2 linked regions of the Tamandua tetradactyla genome follow. The protein of the gene in region 1 interacts with the protein of each later gene in a pairwise test. Links are inferred from orthologs where the notes say so. Each region holds a gene or a part of one and is shown on either strand. Other genes may lie near its edges.

Region 1 (10,645 bases):
GCTTTGAAAGCAAGCAAGCCTCAAGATCAAGGGCTTGCCTATTATTTTGGGTGTCCCTAATGTAAACCTTGTGCTCTTGGTCTGGAGTTGTATTCTGTGAAATGTATACAAAAATTAAGGGATTTTTTTTTAAAAGTGAGAAAGTTAATGTTATAGTTTAACAAAACATTTTGAGAACTGCTGAATTTTAGTACTTGTTAGTGGGAAAGGAAACAGGAAAAATAATAACTATAAAAGGAGAATTGTTTTATTTAGATTTTCTGGCTTTGAGATAAAGGTAACATTTCCATTAAATGGGAGTTGAAATTGTACAGATTTTCTAGCTCTGAATAAAGGGTAAAATCAGTTTTAATATTAGTATTTGAATTGTTTATGCTATACTGGGGACACAGTATTTAATTGACCTCATACCTACATATATGCCAATTTTCTACCACTGAATTTCTTTGCCATGACTCTTTGGGACCGGGGTCAATGGAACAATTGTTCCAACTGCTGTTCATGTCTATGGAATAATCTTTTAATATTAGATTTGGCCTCATATCCCCACTAAACTGTAAGCCCCATGAAGTCAGGAATTTTTTTTTTAATCTCTCTGCTATGTCACTAGTGCCTACATTACAAACACACTTTGAACACTCAATATTTATTTTTAAAAATGAAGCTACCCATCCTTCTGCATATCTTGAGGTTTCTGAAGGCAGTAGTAAAGATAGCCTGTGGTATATAGATTAAGACTGCCTTTCTTGCTAACCAATAGGCCCACTTTTGCCAAAGTCCTGTGCTAAAAGACCAATCCCTGCAAAACAACATAGGGTTAAGATGGCTCAGGTGTGCTCTGGCAGCTATTTCTCAGTTTCCTCTGCTGTTCCCTCTACAGCTCTCTAACCTCTAAACAGTTTAGGATCCCGCAGTTTATTTCTTGGACATGTCTTTTCTATCCACATTTGCTCCTATCATATAGTCTCAGGCTTTAATTTTCTATCTGCAGTCTTAACAACAAATAATACACTCAACAACCTAATAGACAACTGTGTAATAGACAACTGAACATAACCAAAACTAACTCAGGATATTTCCCCATTCCCACAAAATAGCTGAAATAGAGCCACCCAGGCAAATCAGGCCTAGATCAGACTACCTGCTGTCAATCTACAAAATCGTAAGAAATAAATGCTCATTGTTTTAATCACTGAGTTCTGAGGTAGTCTGTTATGCAGTTTTAGATAACAAACCTTATCTAAAATTGCAACACCATTATTATCTCCACTCCATTATTCTTACTATCCCCTTTTCTTACCGTCCCCCATCCACCCTGAACATCTATTACTAACATCCATATATTTTAATTACATTTTATTTATTGTCTGTATATTCCATCAAAATGAAAGTTCGATTTGGCCAGAAATTTTTGTGTATTTGATTCACTGCTGCATCTTCAGATTCTGGAAATGTACCTAGCATTCAAGCACTCAATTCAGTGAATGAATGAATGAACAACTAGTGCTGTGGTTTCATAATCCTGGGATAATTCTCATTTTACAATATTGGGCCTTCTACAAATGTGGTAGTTCTGATAAAACTATGATTCACATCCTTATTTAGTCCAACTCATATGACCTAAATTCTGGTTATAAGATATTAAATTTTCCCTTTTACTATTCAGTATTGAATATATTCTTTTTAGGTTTTTCCAGAGGAAATAGAAGAGTTAGTCTTGAACTAGAGGTGTGAGACCCTAAGCCAGTTTTATTTAGCTCCCTTAAGCCTGTTCCCTCAACTATAAATTATAGAAAATAACTAAGCCAAATGTAAAAAGTACAAGCAGTAATAAAGAGTTAACAGAGAAGAGGGATTTTATATTGAGTCCTTGAAGAATGAAAGAATTGGATATTTGATATTTTACCCACAAAAATTACTTCTATAGTACTCCTATAGTAGTCTCTACTTTCCTTGGTAGCACTTATTCCAGTTTGTTTATGTCCCCAATAGACTGTAAGCTCACTGAAAAAGGACTGTACCTGGTACTCAGTAAATATTTGATGACTGAATAAATATCAGCATTTTAAAAATATATATTTACTAGATGGTTAAACTGATTTTACATAATTGTTTTTCAGAAATAAAGCAATTTTTCTGATTTTTAATGCATAAAACAAATGTTCTTTATGAAAAATAAATGAAATAATATGGAACATTATGTACAGAACTGTACTAAATAGTATGGAAGTATACTAAACTTCAATTTTTATAAAATTTGAAATAGAACAAAATAAAGAAAAATATGTATGCAGGTTAATAAAGATAAAAAGTAAAGTTAGTGGTTCTGAAAAGAAAGGAAATAGAGAGTTAATAAATAAAACCAGTCAGTTGCTGAAAAGTTAAATAAAATGGACAAACCTCTGGAAACCCCACTAAGAAAAAGATAACATCAGAATGAGAAAATATATTCATATAAAGAAAAGATTAAGAGAATTATTGAAGTATTTAATGCAACTTTATGACAATACATTTTTAAATCCAGATAAACAGTTGGCTAAATATGTATATTGCTAAAATTACCTCAAGAAAAAGTAGGAAAAAAATGAACAGATCAATGATCATATGCAAAATTCAAATATTTGCCAAAGATCTGCCATTAAATAAGCTATCAAGTTTGATGATTTTATAGGTTAGGTCCATAAAACCCATAAGGAGCAGTTGATTTCTATAGTAATTCTCATTATTCCACAGCTCAGAAAAAGACGGAAATACTTTAATACATTTTTCAAAAGTAAACTCTAACCCAAATGCCAAGAGGGAGAATACAGAAAAAATGGTTAACTCTGCATAGATATAAAATCCTGAATATCAGAACATTCAAACTTGCAGCATTAGGTTGCATATGTCACCATAATTAAAATTTCAAAAACCCAAAAAATTGCACAACACCAAGAGTGAACTCTAACACAAATGATGAACTATAGATAATACTATTACCTATATTATATTGTTGTTATAACAATGATAATATTGTTTCATCAATTTTAATAAGGGTACCACACTAATGCAAAATGTTACTAACAGGAACAGAGGTGGAGGGTAGAGGGGGGTAGGGGTAAGTGTGTATGAAACCTACAGCTGCTCTGATAAAAAAAAGGAAAATCCTGCAGCATAGCATACAGAGGATTTGCTATTACTACCTACCTGTATGCTATGGGCAAAAATTACGTCACCTCTGTCTTAGCTTTTTTTATCTGTAAAATGGAGATCATGATGTTAGTATGAAGATTAAATAAGTATAAGGTCCTTAGAACACCGCTTGGCACATGGTAAATGTTAAGTGTGAGCTATTTTTATCCCAAGGACAAAAAGAAACATAAGCCATAGCATTGACATTTTTCCTTTTTTTTTCAGCATTGACATTTTAAAGGGGAAAATAAGATATAATAAACTACAAGTTTTATTTTAGCAAACACTTCTTAGCAAATCTTTAAATAAAACAAGCATAAAAAGCCAATCTCCTAAACATGACAAAGATGTGTATCATAAGTCAACAGCACAAATCACACTAAACGTTAAAATATTGAGATCATTCCTATTACAATGAGACAAATTGCTCACTACCACCATGATTATGTCACATTTAAGAGATTATGACAATGTAATAAATTACTGGAAAAGAAGAGATGAAATCATTATTTACTGATACGTCTAGAAAATCTAAGATAGTAAGCAAAACTCTAATAAAATTAATGAGATTTTGGTTTGATTCCCGGAGGCTGCCCATGCCTAAATAAATAAATAAATAAATAAATGATATTTTAGGTAGGTGGATGAAAGATTTACTAAAAATCAGTATCTTTAAGAATAGCAATAAAAATGAGAAATTTATGAGAAAAAAAGAACCCAGTCAGTAACAAAAAGCATGTAATAGGAATACACTAAGAATGACAAAATATTATATGACAAAGAATACAAAATTTCATTGCACACAAAATACACCATGAACACTTGCTATTAACTACCTCAGCAAACTACATCTCTAAAACTCCCAACCTAGAAATTCAGAAATTCTTTCAGACTCACTGTCTCATTTCTCACATCCACAATTAGTCAGCAAGTCCTGCCTATTCTACTTTATATATATATATTTTTCAAATTTGTCACCTCTTCACTCTGTCCACTTCCATTATACTAGTTATCCTTTAGACACAGTCCAGCAAATTATACAGTCTCCCTATTTCAAGTCTCATCCTCTTCAAAATCATACCCCATCCATCAGCCAGTTATCAGGTAAAATACAAACCTTACTAGGTCAAGCCCTAGTCTAAAGCAAAGATCACCACTTAATTCAGGATGGAATCCAAGCTCTAGCCTAACATCACCTTTAGTTAACTGAATCTAGCTTCATAGCCTCCTCCTCCTCTACACTATTTTGACCTTAAAAGTGTGGCTCTGTGTTTCTTAAATTAGGATACGCAAGTATCTCTAGCTAAAGATGTCTTCTACTAACTTACAACATCAATTTTTGGTGTGGATTTTTAGAGGAAGACATTTTATATCAAAATAACTACTCTATGGAGAAAACTGCAAAATTTGTATGGCCGCTTAAAATGAAAGATTTCTAATTAAGAAAGCATTAAAAAATCTATGAATTGTGTGGTGTGTGAATTATATCTCAATAAAGCTATTAAAAAAAAAAGAAAGCATTACAGCAGGCAGTTTTTACGCTCTCCCCAAACCCAGCATATGGGTCATTATATACTTGCCAGTATAGTGAAAAAGCCTATTTTTTTCAAATTTATACCACTGCTAAATTCTTATCACTACATTTGCAAATGACCATCCAATGATGGCCATATTCACCAAGAACCCACTTAAGCCAGGTAAATGTTCTCTTTACATTGATTAACTAATATTATAATGGTCTCTATCTCCAACTACTCTTACCCTTGCTCTCTCCACTCCAGCCATGGTGGCCTCCTTGCTGTCCCTGACAACACATTGCCATGCCCATTTCGAGGCCTTTGCCCTTATCACTCTATCTTTGCTCTTATTATTTCCTATATGCCCAACATCTGGATACCTTTTCTCCTAAATTGCAGGGCTCTTTCTTAACTCCTTGAAGTATTTCCTCAAATACTGCTTTCTCAATAAGACCTATCCTGATGACCCCATTTAAAATTATAACTATCCACACAACCACCACCATTACTCCAGAGTAATACCTCTGCTCTGTTTTTTTTTTCTCTAAATTATCTTCTTTAACTGTTTATCGTCTTTCTACCAGAGTGTAAGTTCAATGGCAGCAGAATTTGTTTCATTCACTGACGCTTGCATCTTTGAACATTAAAGGGTCTCAAAAATGTTGAACAACCCTATGAAACAGGTATTACTATTAGTTAGACTTTATTCACCTTACCTAGAGACTGAAATACAATGAGAATTTGCCTTTGGTCAAATAGTAAAAGGTAGAGTTAGGATTTGTACCACACAGCCTGCCTCCACCATTTACCATCACTGTATGGTCTCTCATTTGCATAATGAATTCCCATATGTACTTTCTATTTAGTTCATTTCCCTTATTACACAGCAGTGAAGAAATTATCTTTGTATCTTGACTGGCAATGCCTAGCCCCATGTTATACATTTAATAATTGTTTACTGAATGAATGAATGTTATGTATACATTCCTTAACCAAAGACTTTTACGTGAATGTCTCATTGGCCAAATCATTTGAGGCTTTCAGATTTAATAGCAAAAATTATATTTTTAATATCGAAATAAGTCTTGCCTTTAAAAATGTAGTGATATAAAAAATACGTTCTTTGAATTGAGAAAACATGATTTCTGATTAATGAGTTAACTAAATGGTCATGCACTCTATGCTTACAATTTATCATTAGTTGGTTTTTTAAAGCTTTATTCGACATTAACACAAATTAAGACTCCAAAACCATCTACTCACTCACTTCATAACATATTCTTGCATACACTAATTATCCGATTTAAAAAATACAAAGTGTCATCTTTCCAAACACCGAGATTTATAAAACAATCACACCAGACAAAAACTGACACCTTCATTTACAAAAACAAACTCTAACGAAACCACCCGGAAGAGCAATACACTATCTACTGACACCCGAGTCGCCCGGAGGCAGTGTTTTCGAATCATTTTGACAAGACTACCGTAAAGGCACGAATATCTCGACACAAAATCTAAACGTTTACTCTGAAAAACATTACTAGGTAGAAGGGATAAACGTATAAGAGATTTAAAATGATGAACCTCCCAAACCGCCTCAAAGTCTAGTGCCCAAAGATCTTCCACCTCAGATTTCCTCACCGTGTCTAGACTAGGGCAAAGCCACCATTTCCCAAGTAGAAGATGATGTACAAAAGAAAAACCGGCCATCCAGAGTGAAGGCCGAAGAAGCAAACGAAAACAAAAGCAAAGCAAACAGGTGAACAGCCAGCCCCAGACGCCACAGAAGCCCCTGACGCCCCTACATCGGTTAGCCACAATCGCGTAACTCGCGAGATTTTTCGTATTCACGGGATCATGAAGCCGAAACCCCGCGGGCTCAGAGAAAAGAGGGGATTTGGAGGGACCGGGCCTTAACGCCTCCCCCACAAACCCACCGAGTGCGTGGGCACTCCGAACCACCCCTCTACTCTTCAACGAGATCCAGCCCCCCCAGCGTGCCTAGGAACTTCCGGGGGCTGACCGGAACCGGAAGCTCGGGGGAGCGAGGGGGTGGGGCCGAAAAATCAAAAAAGCGCGGCGAAAGTTGGAGACCAGAGCAGACAAGGTGGTGGAAATCTTCAGGTGGGCCCGTGATCGGTCCCGATGGACTCCACCGCCTGCTTGAAGTCCTTGCTCCTCATCATCAGTCAGTACAAAGCCGTTAAGTCTGAGGCGAACGCCACCCAGCTTTTGCGGCACTTGGAGGTGAGGGATCTAATAATCCTTAGTCCATGGGCGGTGGGGTGTGGCGGCCCTATCCCTGGAAGGCCTCTCGCTCCCTGGGCTGTTTGTTAAGGTAAAAGCGAGGGAGTGTCAGCTTTGAATTCTCACTCTCCACCCCGCCCCTAGTTCCTCCACGGTTAGCTGTCCGCAGCGATCAGGTTGAGCGCCGAAAGAAGGCTCTGGGAAAGGGGAGAGTGGAATAAAAGGTTAGGGAATTTAGGCTGTGTTTCTGGTAGATTAGAGGAGAAAGCTCGGACTTGTATTTTCTCTTCTTTTGCTTCTTGTTCTGGTTTTGCCATCGAAATAGAGCCCTCGCAGAATATGCAGTGAACTTGTACTTGAAAAATACTATTTCAACTTTCTTTGGCCTAAGAAGCAATCCCTTTCTCCAATTCTAGTAATCGTAATCATGTTTCTTTACAAAAATATATTGCTCACAGTTTTTAAATCCTAAAATGCTGAATTGTATTCACTTTTTCTTAGTTCCCAGTGATTTGTGTTTAGATTATTATTGTTATAACTTTTCTTTGGAAAAAATTATAATCGCACATAATTCCCTGTGACCCTTATTATTTTGAGACTCTTGTTATCAATTGTTAACGCATTTGTGGAATTCAAATGTTAATCTGTTAAATAAAAAGTAGGGTGCACAGGTGGTTTAGTGGTAGAATGCGCGCCTTCGATGCGGGAGACCCGGGTTCGATTCTTGGACCATGCACCTAAAAAAAAAAAAAAGTTAAGCTCACTCATTCAAGGCATATTTTAAGAATTCTCTCTTTGTAGAATTCCTCTGCTAACATAGAATTGAACGTAATTTAAAAATCTATTCTACTTGGTTTATTACCCCTCTAATGAAGGTCTGATGTACCAAGGATTGGCAGAATACTGCAAAGAGAAGATGATTGTGAATGGTATAACAGCACCAACTTTTGGTGAAACTATAGTATTATAAATGTGTCTTTGTTCTCCTGAGCTTCAGTGGGGCTCCTCTTCGAACTATTGGAGATACCCACATCCTAAGTAGGTTTGTTTTTGTTTTTGTTTTTGTTTTTGTTTTCATCCATTATCACAATAAGTCCCAGCAAACATAACAGTTAAGTTTCAAACTAGGATAGAGCAGTGTGCTGGTGGCAGTCCAGAAGCCGCAAAATAAACATGGCCATCAGCTTTATTTAAGAATTAAACATTAAGTATTTTATTTTAGTTAGCAGTCTGAAACATTGCTTCTCTCAGAGAATAGAGGTATATTTTGATTCTCAGTGCAATTTTAGCATGAATTGAAGGAGATTTCAAAGCAATTTGTGGCTTAAAAACTGACTTCTTGAAAGATTCACAGAAAACTGTTCTGGCATTGGGGTATTTTGTTGCAAGGGTGTGATGAGTACTAGCTTGAAGCGACTACTCTTAAGAACTTTTTTTTTTCAATTGAGAGATGACATACATACAGTAAAATACATCAAGTACATTAATCTTAAGTGAGGCACTTGATGGTTTTTATTACATTTGTACACTCATAGAGCCATCATCTGTATCAAGATATAGAACCTGTCCAGCCCCTATAAAGTGTTTCATTATCCCTTTCCATAAGGTTCATATAAGTGGACTCAGAAAATTTGTACTCTTTCATGTTTGGCTTCTTTCACTCAAAAAAACACAAAAATCTGAAGTTCATTCATGTTGCAACATATAAAAGTACTTCATTCTTTTTTATTGCTGTATGGAATTCCATTGTGTAAATATATAGCAGTTTGTTATGAATGAACAAACTCATTTCTTTAATATGCTGAGGAGTGGAATTGTTAGGTGGTAGGGTAAGCTTATGTTCAGCTTTAGTTGAAACTGCTAAAAACTGCTCAACAGTTTCCCCAAAGGTTATACCATTTTACCCTCCACACTGCAGTATATGAGATTTGCAGTCTCTCATCCACTCCTCCACAACAGCCCCTGAATTAAAACAGTCAGTTTTTTTATTTTCCCATTTTTAGTGGGTGATCATTTGTATTTTTAATGGTACGTTGTCCGTGTCTCCTCGCTCAACGTCGGGCCCCCGGCCGGCGGAGGGTACGACAAGAAAAGGGGGAGAGAGAAAGAGACGCAGACAAACCGGTCCTGGCGGTAGAAAACGAGTCCAGAATACGCAGCAGTTGTAAGTACAAATCTTTACTGGGTCTAAGCTTGCATTATCTATAACTTTCCCCGACCGGGTGAATACATCCCGCGGGGGAGCGACCTCTGTGCGGCCGTCAGGCACGGCTCCTTGTGGGTCGTCTCCCCCGCCTCGTCCGGGCAATACCTTATATACATAATTCAAGCCCAATAGGTTGTTGCCGCGTCTAAGAGGGTGATTGGTAGATCGGGTTGGTGGGCGTGTGTGTCATACGCGGAAGCAGGATGTGGGCGCCATCTTGGCTCACTCGATGGGCGGGGGGAGCTTTAGAGCAGGCTGCAGCGCGTCCACTAGGCCTGACCCGGGTGGCGGCTCTCCACATCTCCCCCTTTTTTACTTATTTTGACCCGGTGTCTCCATTGATGAGTGAGCTCCCGTGGGCCGGAACGGCCCACTACATGTTTTGGTGCTTTGGGGAGTCTGGACTAGGCTTGCTAGGCACCAACCAGAATGCCTCCTCATATAGAGACCGGAGGGCCCGTGAACCGGAAACCACGTGACCCTCCCTGCAGTGCTTCGCCTCGCAACCGGGTTATGAGGGGGGCAGGAGAGCGGCAACCAGAGTCGAGAGTGTCGTAGGTGTCTCTGTGCAATGGCTTAAGTCTAGTCTGGCCAGGACCGCGACTTTGCCTAGAGACTCTCTTTCGACCAAAATTATGACTTCTGGTGCCGCCACTTATACCTGGGATACAGCCATGGGCTTTGCGGCAGACCTTACTTTCGAGCGTCCCGCCTTGAGTGGCCGTGACGGGCCACGCAGTGGGGGGGAGGACAGGGCTACGGTGCGGGGGTCGCCAGGGGCATCAGGGGCAAGTGACATAGCCAACATAGTGGTGACGCGTAGCTGTTGCTGCGTCTGGAACAAGCGTTCTAACAAACAATCAACAATGAGCAGAGTTACTAAGAGTCCCACTGCTAAAAGAATCCAAGTGGTCAACCTGGGCCAAGAGAACCATGAGGTGACTTAGTCCCACAGTAGCTCGTAGTGGGAAAAGTGGGGTTAAAGCTAGTTTCTCTTCTACTCGGTCGGAGGGTCACTTGCACTGTTGTTGTCATCTTTTCGGTCGTCGCCATCATCAGTAGGGCTGGAGACCGGGCCTGATGGTTCAGGTCGAAAGCTTGCTGACTTGTCGGGCAGCAGTTTCTCGGCGCCCCCGGGCGGTGTCACGGTTCTCACCAGTCTCTCCGGAATCCACACCGGCTGGCGTCCTGGTTCCTGGGGAAAGACACAAACAGAGCCTCTGGCCCAGCTGAGCACCGGGTCAGGGCCTTGCCACAGTCCTGACAGGACATCTTTCCATCGGACCAAACCTCTATGTGATGGGTTTGGAGTGGTATGCTGGAGGGCAGGTGTCATTCCTTGTGAGTTTTCATTTAAGAAATTATATGTAAACAAGGCTACTGACAGTTGGGCTTTTGGGGATAGGCCGTGGCCCATTCCTTCCTTTTGTTTTTTAAGCAATTCTTTGAGAGATCTGTGTGCTCTCTCTATGATACCTTGCCCTTGGGGATTGTAAGGGAT
Region 2 (10,645 bases), on another chromosome or scaffold:
AGGAGGAACTAAGACCCGCGCATCTTACTAAGCCGCCATCTTCTCCGGAAGTCTCTTAGGCTTAATTTTAAGTAGGCTTGACCTATCCCCTGTGGGATTAAGTTTCATATGAACAAACCCCAAGACTGGGGGCTCAGCCTATAGCTTTGGTTGTCCACACTGCTTGTGAGAATATCAAGAATTCAACTTGGGGAAGTTGAGTTTTCCCTGGTTCTCACCATTCCCCAAAGGGGACTAAGTTGTTTTTAATGTCTATTGTTGGCAGAGATGGAGAATGAGCACTCTGACTCTCTGACTGCTGGAAAGAATGAATAATGGCACAAACTCTTTGAAGGGCAATTTGATTGCTCTACAGATTCAATGAACCATAAGTGAAATCCCAGCAGGCTCTTTTGTAGAAATTGATTAAAATTCGACCTATTTAGAATAATCAAACAACTCTGAAAAAAGAACAAAGTTAGAGGACTAACACTACTTGATTTCAAGACTTATTACAAAGCTTGTAGGCAAAGTTACCATGATAATGTAGTATCTGGCATAAAGATCAATAAATAAGTCAATGAAACAGAACAGAGTTCAGAAATAGATTGTACATATGTATAGACAATTGTTATTGATAAAGGTACCAGGGTTCCAGTGGAGAAAGGACAGTCTTTTCAGCTATCGATATTGTTATACAGGAACAACAGAATGACTATTAAAAAAAAAAAAGAACTCTGGAAAACAGCTTGACAGTTACTTTCTAAGTTAAATATATACTTAGAATATACCCAGCAACCCTACTTTTAGGTATTTGCTCAAGAGAAATGAAAACGTATGTTAACACAAAAGCCTACCCACTAATGTTTCTAGAAGTTTTATTCTTAATAACCCATAAATGGAAACAATTCAAATGTCACTCAACTGGTAGATAAATAAACAAGTACATCCATACAATAGAATCCCACTGACAATGAGAAAAAAAAGAATGCAACCATTACATGGAAGGACTTGAAGGATCTCAAAGCCATTACCTTAATGAAAGAAGGATGATTCTAGTCAAAGAACATTCTGATAAAACTAAAATATAAGGACAGAAAACAGATCAGTGGTTACTAGAGGATCAGGATGGGCTGAAGGTTTATTACAAAGAGGAATGAGACAAGTTTAGGCAGTGGTTACATAACTATATGTATTTGTCAAAATTCCTAGAACTACACATTAAAATGGATGAATTTTACTGCATGCAAATTACACTTCAATAAGACTGACTTTAAAAAAATGGCCATAGCATTTAACCTAGAAATAATAATGGTTGTATGCAAAGTTTTAATTACAGAAATATCCTTTAAAAGTATTATTTTATATATATATATGTTCCCCCTCCCTGGATGCCTGAGGATTAGCCACCATCATGAAAGACATGGTAACCATCTGGACCAGGAAGTTCATGACCAACCAACTATGTCAGTGGAAACAAACAGTCATCAATGTCTTTCACCCTGGAAAGACAGAGGTACTTAAGACAGAAATTTGGGAAAAAAATAGCAAAAATGTACAAGACTACACCAGATGTCAACTTTGTCTTTGGATTCGGAACCTCGCTTGCTTTTGGCGGCAAGATGACTGTCTTTGACATGATTTACTATTCCTTGAGATTATGCAAAGAAAAATGAACCCAAACACAGACTTTAAAGATATGGCCTATGTGAGAAGAAAAAGACCTCAAGGAAACAGTGAAAGGAATGCAAGAGCAGAATGAAGAAAGTCAGGGATACTGCAAAGGCCATGTTGGTGTTGGCAAAAAAGGAGTAAAGACCCTTCAGGGATTTGATCCATGCCTGCGCAGATTTTTCACATGAGGGTTAATAAAACTATAAAAACAAACAAACAAAAAGGAGTACAATATAGTTTATAAAAATAAACCTAACAGGGAGGGCCACGGTGGCTCAGTGGCAGAGGGCTCACCTGCCATGGCAGAGATCCAGGTTTGATTCCTGGTGCCTGCCCATGAAAAAAAATAATAAACCTAACTATCCAACAGCACAGGAACTGGCCAAAAGGTTACAGTATATCCATGCAGAGAATACTGAGGCCATTTTAAGATATTATAAATGTTCAAAAAGCTTATAAAATAAAATGTAAACAATGATTATCTTTGGGGTGGGATTATATACTTTTTTCTTATCCATATTTTCTAAACTTTTCTACAATGAACATGGATTATATGTTAAGTTATAAAATAATTTTTTAAAGGAACACATAATTAAGGAGTACAGAAGCATGGTCATAGTCTATAAGAGAACTATCTGAAACCCTTTGTAAAATAAACAGAGTCTAATGAAAAATATCAAGAACATTAAGAACTTTTATTTTATTGTTTTGGTAATGCTCAAAGCAGGTCTATTTTTACTATGTTTCAATCTTAACATTCAAACACAATTATTTGCAGATTAAAAAGAGTAGAAATGAAGCCCAATACACCTGAGGAGCCAGTAACTGAGCTCTTAGCTGATCAAGTGACATGGCCCAGATGAATTACTTCCTTACACACACAAAAGATTTTCCAGGTAAGACTGCTGTACTGCCACTGGTAATCTGAGGAACCCTGGCAACAGAAGTGCTACTGAAAGACTGGGGGTGGGCAAATGCTCTTTGACTCTGAAAGAGGGGGAAAGGGTAGATTTCACAAACTAGACCAGTGAATTTGACACCCATATCAGGCAAAATTCTGGCCAGATTTATAAAATCCACTCAGAAAGAGAGGCCGCGATCACTAGGTATCAAATCATAGACTAATAATACCTTTATTGTCTTTGGGTATTTGTACTTCATAAAGCCATCTAGAAAGTCTCACAATATCCTTTTGAACAGGACACAGTATGATCTATATTTACAATTAATGGAACATCACAGACCAAGAGCGTTGCTTAATGGGTCAGAGCAAATATATACAAAGGAACAGTGGTGGCCTGCAGGGTTTGGTCCTCAGTGTGGTCTTGCAACATTTTTATCAATGACTCAGAAAAGAACACAGTTGTACATAGTTACCAAATCTGCAATTAACACAAACCAAAGAGGATGACTGAGTCAGGATCCAAAAAGATCTTGACAGCCTGAAACTCTGCGTTGACTCAACTTGAAATTTAACAAAGATAAAGGTAAGTCTGACACTTAAATCCAGATACTCAATGCAAATACAAGATAGAGAAGCTCTGCCTTGACAGCAATTCATGTGGAAAAGGAAAAAACTGAAATCACAGCTTGAGCCAAAAGCAGAGAAGGTAGAAGGAAGCAGGCTCTGGCTTCATAAATATTATTTTCTTTTCTGCTCAACATGAAGATAACTTTTCTTGTTAGATTTGAAAAATCTAAGTGTTAAGGCCACTTTAGGAGAGTAAGTTTGTTGTTACAGAAGGTCTTCAGACCAAGGGTAGATAACTGCTCTGGATACTGAAAAGAGAGAAGTTGAAGCCAGTAGAGGGTATAGTAGAAGAAATGCCCCTGGAAAATCTATTTACATAATGGCAGATATATTACAATTTATAAGATGGGAAATAATTTCATTCCAATTGATTTAAAGGAGATCGACTGAGATATACTGCATGGGGAGTGCAAATTTAGGCTTGCTTTTTTCCCTTTTATTTCCCTGTTTTCTCTATTAATCCAGATACTTTCTCACTTTTTATAACTAATTTTAAAAGTTTTACACTTGTTATTATGGAAGTGATATATACCCCTTACAGGTATGATTAAACCCTTTTGATGAATATAAAACGAGAAGTAAAAGAGAGGAAAGCTCCTCTCCTGCTTTCCCCACAAACATACACTCCAGACTCCTGGACTCCACTAGTTGTTTTTTTTGGTATGCTGGGGCTCACATGTCATTCTTTTTCTGTGTGAGTTTCTGGTTATTGCAGCACCATTTGTTGAATTTTTTTCTTTTTTTTCTTTGTTTTTTTTTCAGGGATAGATGAACGGGTCTGAATCCCTGAGGAACGTACAGTCTGTATACCATGACATCTTTTATCATATACCACGTTTCCTTCAATAAGACCAGAAGCTCCTAAAAGTAAAGATTTGTTTTTACTTCTGTGTACTCATGTACCAAATACAGGCACACTATAGAAATGGAACATCTGTTTAAACTAACTTCATGATACATACGAAAAAAGTAATAGCAAATTTCTTTAGATGCTAAAAGTCTTATTTTTCACCTCACACTTACAGTAGACATTGATTGTTTTTGCCAATCCAGCATTCACTTACCACCTTTTATCTACCCACCCAGCTCATCAATTTGCTTGATGGTGAGCATCTGAATTGTGCTGGGAGAAGAATGCTATTTAAGTCAATCAGGGCTTCACAATCTCCTACACATGGTTCAGGGTTTGGCATGTAATCCAATCTAGACCAATGAGATGCAAACAACTTGAAGCTGAGAGGGTATAATGAACCCTAGATAATGCAGCCATCTTGAGACCAAAGGAGAGAGTCTATCCAAGTGTGAGGTCACCCAAAAGAGCAAACCTGGGAAAGAGGAAGAAATGAGACCCTGACGACATCACTTAGCACTCCTATTAAGTATTACTATCACCTCATTCTTTACCTCAGAACTAACTTCAAAGCCCTTTACCACCAACTTTACTACACCAGCACCCAATAACCTTATGTTCAAGGAACTCGCTTTAATTGGGCACCTGGGCTGGACTCAGTTGGAGGAGAGAAAAGAACAGGGTTCTGGAAATAAATTTAAACAAATACAAGCATATTTATGCATATATAGTATAGCAGACTATGAGCTATATGAGACTATAGGTGTGCCAACGGTGAAGGCATGAAATGCGGAGAGAGTGAAAAAGTGGCAGACACTGTTCGGGTCTGCAAGTAGGCAGAAGAAAGGCTTCACAAGAAGCGGTAAACCTCTGTAAACTCAGCTTGTGCCACTCTTGCTCATTAGCCCAAATGGCCTTTCATAGTTCTTAAAACTAAATTACTTCCAGCTTCAGATCAACTGTGCCACTGTCTGGTTATTTTTCTCTCAAATCTTTCACAACTGGCTCCTATCTTACCTTTTCAGTCTCACTTTGTACCACCTTTTCAGAGATGACTTTCCAGTTCACCCAACCCGAAGTAGTCTTTTCTCCCTTTCCATCAAAACACTTTTCACCAACTGTGTTTACTAATTTGTTTAGTTTACCAATATTTCCACCACTAGGATGTAAACTTTGTGAAAGCAGGGATTCTGTCTTGAACACCGCCTTTTCTTTATACCCAGATTCTGATAGAGAGCGGTAGGTCCTGAATAAATTAACACTCATGGGAGGACAGAATCTCTGGCAGAAATTGGGGGAAGAGTTGGCGTTGTAAACAGGCTGCTTCCTCTTTGGGAAAGCGTGGGAAAAGCCAGCTAGATTGGAAGCTATTCAGGAGGGTTGAAGGTTTACCAGGTGGGAGTGGACTGTGCGAACAGGGATTCAGGCCTCATCTGGGCGCGCGTGGGGTGGGCGACGGGGTGAGCGGAGGGTGACGGTCAAGACACCACTTAGTGACCAACTGCTAAGCGTTCCCTTAGAGGGAACCAAACACCGCGGCTCTCCTCAACACTGTGTCCAGCACCGCGTACCTTACGTCCTCGGAAATCGCCAGCCCACGGGAACCAAACCAACTGGCCGGAGCTCTCTGGGGGCAGGCGCCCTATACAGAAACGACTACACTCCCCCGCTCCCCACTGGGGATCCAAGTCCGGCCTCCAAACTCAGCGCCCGCTCACCGGCCGGTTGACGCGAGTCTCCCCGCCCCCAGCCCGCCCTGTCGCGGAATTCGGGCCCTCACTTACGCCTGTCTCCGGGCTATGAGCCGATGCATGGGAGTCGCCATCTTAGCGCAGCTCCGGACAGCCGCGCGGGGTCTTGGGAAACTTCTCAGGAGGGGCGGGGCCTTCTGATCCGGCGGCAGGGACCTGGGCGGAGCCAGACGGCAGATTCCAAGTGTAGACAGGGTGGGCGGGGGTCGGTGCGCGGTGCGGAAGCCCCTCTTGCGTGGGTCCTTTGATTTGAGGAAGATAAGTGAGGCCCTCTTCTGGGCCTGAACAGGGTTTTGAGGGATGAGTACACATATATTGGGTAGGTAAGGCAGGGAAGAACATTCTGGAAGGAGTACTCTATTTCTATACAAAGACAAAAAAGAATGAAAGAGTATTCAGTTTTCAGAAAACTGGAAGACCCTGCAGAGTAAAATAGGAAGGAAAGAATTAAACAGGAATGTGAGCATCAAAAAAGAATGACTTTAGCGAACCGTAAAGTGTAAACGTGTTAATTATTTTTATTTTTATGCATTTCACAGGGATGCCAAAAGGATCAGATGAGACTATATGATTTTACCTGGAAAAGGGTTATACAAATATTATTTTGGGATATTTTAGCTGCACCTACGTTTAATGTCAGACTATGGAGAGATTATTCTTTAATTCCAGATTCTTTAAAACATATAAATTTGCATATACATACGTGTTTCTCCGTCTCCCATTAATATTTATTTCAATTAATACTTATTTGAGACCTAAAATGTTGTAAGAGCAGGGACTAGGACACTAAACAAATAAAATCCTTGTACACATGGTGCTTTCGTCAGACAATGAACAAGCCCAAGAAGGCTATTTCCAATGAGCTTATGAATATTCTAAGGATAAATAATTTAGAGTAAGGGGATAAAGAGTGATTAGCTATGGGAATTAGGGAAGGTCTCTGATGATGTGACCTTTGAGCCTATTTTATTAATTAAAAATTGGAATCTTACTACGTTTCTGTTGTTAGGATAGCTTTTTTCATTCCTCAATGATTTATGGGCATCTTTCCCATATCAACAATATAGATCTAATTCACTCTTTTTATGTATTGTATGGATTACATATCTACTGCACAATTTATCCAACCAGTACTCTATTGATGTACAATTGGGTCATTTACCACAATGATAGAATTAATAGATCTTTAAACACTGTTCCCACCCAGACCCAGTTCAGGCAAAGCATGAGCTGGTGCTGCTGTGAGACCGAAAAACATGCCTGGCACAGAAGTAGATACAGATTTATTGGCACTTATGAACAGAAAAGATTCTCCAGTGGCAGCCGGTCCAGAGTGATAGTGCCTGGCTAGGAATAGGAGTGCGGGGGTGGGGGATGGCAATGCGTGTTTGAGTTTAGACAACGACATTCCATATAGTATGAGGACATTAGCGTCTCCCTAGTATAATCTTTAAAGGACGTAGGACCTGATGTTTTACTAAGATTAGTGTTTAAGACTCAGATACAATCTATACCGTTTACGTCTCTGGTTACATGTCTGCCCCCTCTAGGGAGATTGTTTACTTTCTTGACCTTTGCTCTTAGGTAAAGCAGACCAGCTACATGCCTTTTAGGAGGGGACCTGGTCCCTGGGCCCCCACAAGCACTTAACTCAAGTGTTACTGTAAGAAGACTTTCTAGAAGTGGAATTGCATAAAAGGATATATGCACTTCTAATTTTGATAGATATTACCAGATTGGACTTTAATTTAGTTATATCCAAACCTGTTCCCTCCGGAGAATAGCGAATGGTCAAACTGTTTAAACATTTACCTATCTAGTAAGTCAATGTGATATATTGATGAGGTTAAGTACCTTTCATATGATCGTCATAGATTATACTTTTTTCATGATTGGTAACATTTTTAACTTATTTTTCTATTGGATTTTTATTCTTTTCATATTGATGTGTAAAAGCTAAATATTTTACTTATAAATCCTTTGTTTTGTATATTACAAATATTTGTCTGTTGTCCTTTAACTTTGTGATCATTTACCCAAAAGGAGAGTGGTGTTTTGGAGCTTTAAGTATCCTAGAAAAAGTGGAAAATAGATTAAACTTAATCCGTTCCTCTGGGTGTGAACCCTTTGTAAGTAGGACATTTGATGAGGTTATTTCTGTTAAAGGATGACCCACCTCCATCAGGATCCTATTATTGGAGTCCTTGATAAGCTGAATGAAATTCAGACAGAAAAAAAGACACAGAGGGAGCAGTCAGAGGCTGAAAGCGATGGAACAAAGAAGAGAAAGGAGAGGCAGCCAAGTGCATTGCCATGTGACCGAAAAGCTAAGGAGGAAGGATGGCCATCAGGCAACCCCAGAGTGCATTCTTTGGAAGAAAGCATTGCCTTGATGATGGCATACTTTGAACTTTCTCTTAGCCTCAAAACCATGATCAAATAAATTCCCATTGTTTAAGATGAATCATTGCATGGTAATTTGCTTAGCAGCCAAAAAAAAAAAACAGGATGCAGTAAATTGTTATATAGTCATATTTGACAATCTTTTTGTTTACGGAGTCCTTGATTTCGCTTTTATGTTCAAAATTATTTTAGAAATATTTTCTTTATTTTACTGTAATTCTTAAATTGTAATTGATATACAGCTTTGTTTTTATGATTATATACTTAATCCTAATTTTTACTTTATTGGAACATCGTTTAATAAATAATCTGCTTCTTCTCTATTGGTTTGAAATGCCACCGTGTCATATACTAAATATACACAAATTAGTATGTTTGTGCATTCTTCTTTCTTCCAATGATCTATTTGTGGTAGTACCCATCCAATGTTTTTTTTAAATATTTTTATTTTGGTATCATCATGCACCATACAATCCATCCAAAGTATACAATCAGTGGTTCACAATATAAACATATGTTGTGTATTCATCATCATGCTCATTTTTAGAACATTTGCATCGCTCCAGAAAAAGAAATAGAAAGACAAAGGATAAACCCATACAGTCCATTTCCCTTACGCTACCCTATCACTGGCCACAGGTATTGCAAACTACACAATTTTTTTTACCCCTTATCCTCCTCTATTATTTATTTATTTATTGTCCTTATTTTTTTTCACTCATCTGTACATACCCTGGATAAAAGGAGCATCAGCCACAAGGTTTTCACAATCACCTAGTCACACCTTAAAAGCTCTATAGTTGTACAATTGTCTTCAAGAATCAAGGCTACTGGAATACAGTTCAACAGTTTCAGGTACTTCCCTCTACCCACTCCAATACACCGTAAACTAAAAAGGGATATCTATATAATGCATAAGAAACCCCCCCAGGATAACCTCTTGACTCTGTTGGAAATCTTTCAGCCACTGAAAGTTTATTTTGTCTCATTTCTCTCTTCCTCCTTTTGTTCAAGAAGGTTTTCTCAATCCCAGTATGCTTGGTCCTGGTTCATTTCCAGGAATCATGTCCCACATTGCCAGGGAACTATACACGCCTGAAGGTCATGTCCCACATAGGACGGAGGGCAATGAGTTCACCTGCCAAGTTGCCTTAGAGAGAAAGAGAGGCCACACTTGAGAAACAAAAGAGGCCCTCTGAGGGTGATTCTTTGGCATCATTAGAAGTAGGCTTATGAGGGGCCAAGATGGGGGCTTATTTATGTGCGCATTTTAGTTCTTCCTGCAGAACAACTACTAAATAACCAGAAACAGTACAGAACAGCTCCCGGAGCCACGTCAGTGACCAGACACACAGCATACACCAGTCTGGACCAGCTGGACCGGCTACAAGCCTCCCCAAAACCGTGAGTTCCCCAAGCCATGGTGGCCGGTGCCCCTCCCCCACAGGCGGCTTCCCAGAGGGAAAGGAAAGAGACTCTAAACCTGGTCAAGGCGGAGTTCGCTCATTGGGCTCACGGAAAAAAGACAAAAGGGGAGGAAACGGAGGTTTTAGTGGCTGTGTTTCTACGGACACTTGGCAGCCTCTGGATTCAGTGGCGGGACTTCTTGGGCTGCAACTGCCCCAGGCATTGGCAGAAACGGGCTGCTTTCAGGGCTGTCTCCTACCTGTGCCTTCCCCAGGGGAGGGGTGTAGCCCAACTCAGGTGGAATCCCTCTCTCAAGGAATTCAGACCCCAGGGCTTGGCAATTTGAAGCCATTAAAACCAGCCTACAACCTCTCCTCTGTCTCCACCACGCCTCCAGCAGGGAGAGTCTTCCAAAGTTAAAAGTGCCGCAACATCTTTTGCTGGTGCGACCCACAGGCAGACGCGTCACATACTGGGCAGGATAAGAAAAACAGAACCCAGAGACTTCACAGGACAGTCTTTTAACCTGCTGGGTCTCACCCTCAGGGAAAACTGACTCAAGTGACTCCTTCCCCCTGATAGGAGGCCAGTGTAGTCCGGGAAAACCTGGCTGGAGTCTATAATACCTACGTAGACCCTCCTAAGGGTGGGGAAGGAAAAGGCACCATACAAGCAGGGCAAGAAACAAGAAAACAAGAACTGAAAAATTATCCTCTGTTAAACAAAACCTAAGCTAGAGGTCCAGAAAAAGCTGAACTGAAGGTCAAAGGACAGATAGACAACAAATTCGTCTAGCAAGAAAACCCTAGGTAAGAGAAGTGAAAGCAATCACCAGAATAAACTAATTAAGGTAATTAAATGTCTAGACACCAGCAAAAATAACAAATCACACCAGGAAAATTGAAGATATGGCCCAGTCAAAGGAACAAACCAATAGTTCAAATGAGATAGAACAGCTGAAACAACTAATTCAGAATATGCGAACAGACATGGAAAACCTCATCAAAAACCAAATCAATGAATTGAGGGAGGATATGAAGAAGGCAAGGA

Evidence for each region. The genes of interacting proteins can lie anywhere in the genome.
Region 2: the proteins of DZIP3 (region 1) and ZCCHC10 interact in binary tests that used the Homo sapiens proteins (3 or more experiments, as listed by UniProt). The link is inferred for Tamandua tetradactyla from reciprocal best matches to the Homo sapiens genes DZIP3 and ZCCHC10.

The regions. Positions count from the first base shown.
Region 1 is NC_135336.1:38,443,706-38,454,350, forward strand, and holds the start of DZIP3 (E3 ubiquitin-protein ligase DZIP3), read right to left. Parts: upstream 6,623-10,645; 5' UTR 6,333-6,622; intron 1-6,332. Other genes in the region: protein CIP2A, read left to right, coding at 6,837-6,938. UniProt on the Homo sapiens protein: E3 Ubiquitin ligase proteins mediate ubiquitination and subsequent proteasomal degradation of target proteins.
Region 2 is NC_135346.1:11,882,715-11,893,359, forward strand, and holds the start of ZCCHC10 (zinc finger CCHC domain-containing protein 10), read right to left. Parts: upstream 5,924-10,645; 5' UTR 5,860-5,923; coding exon 5,819-5,859; intron 1-5,818.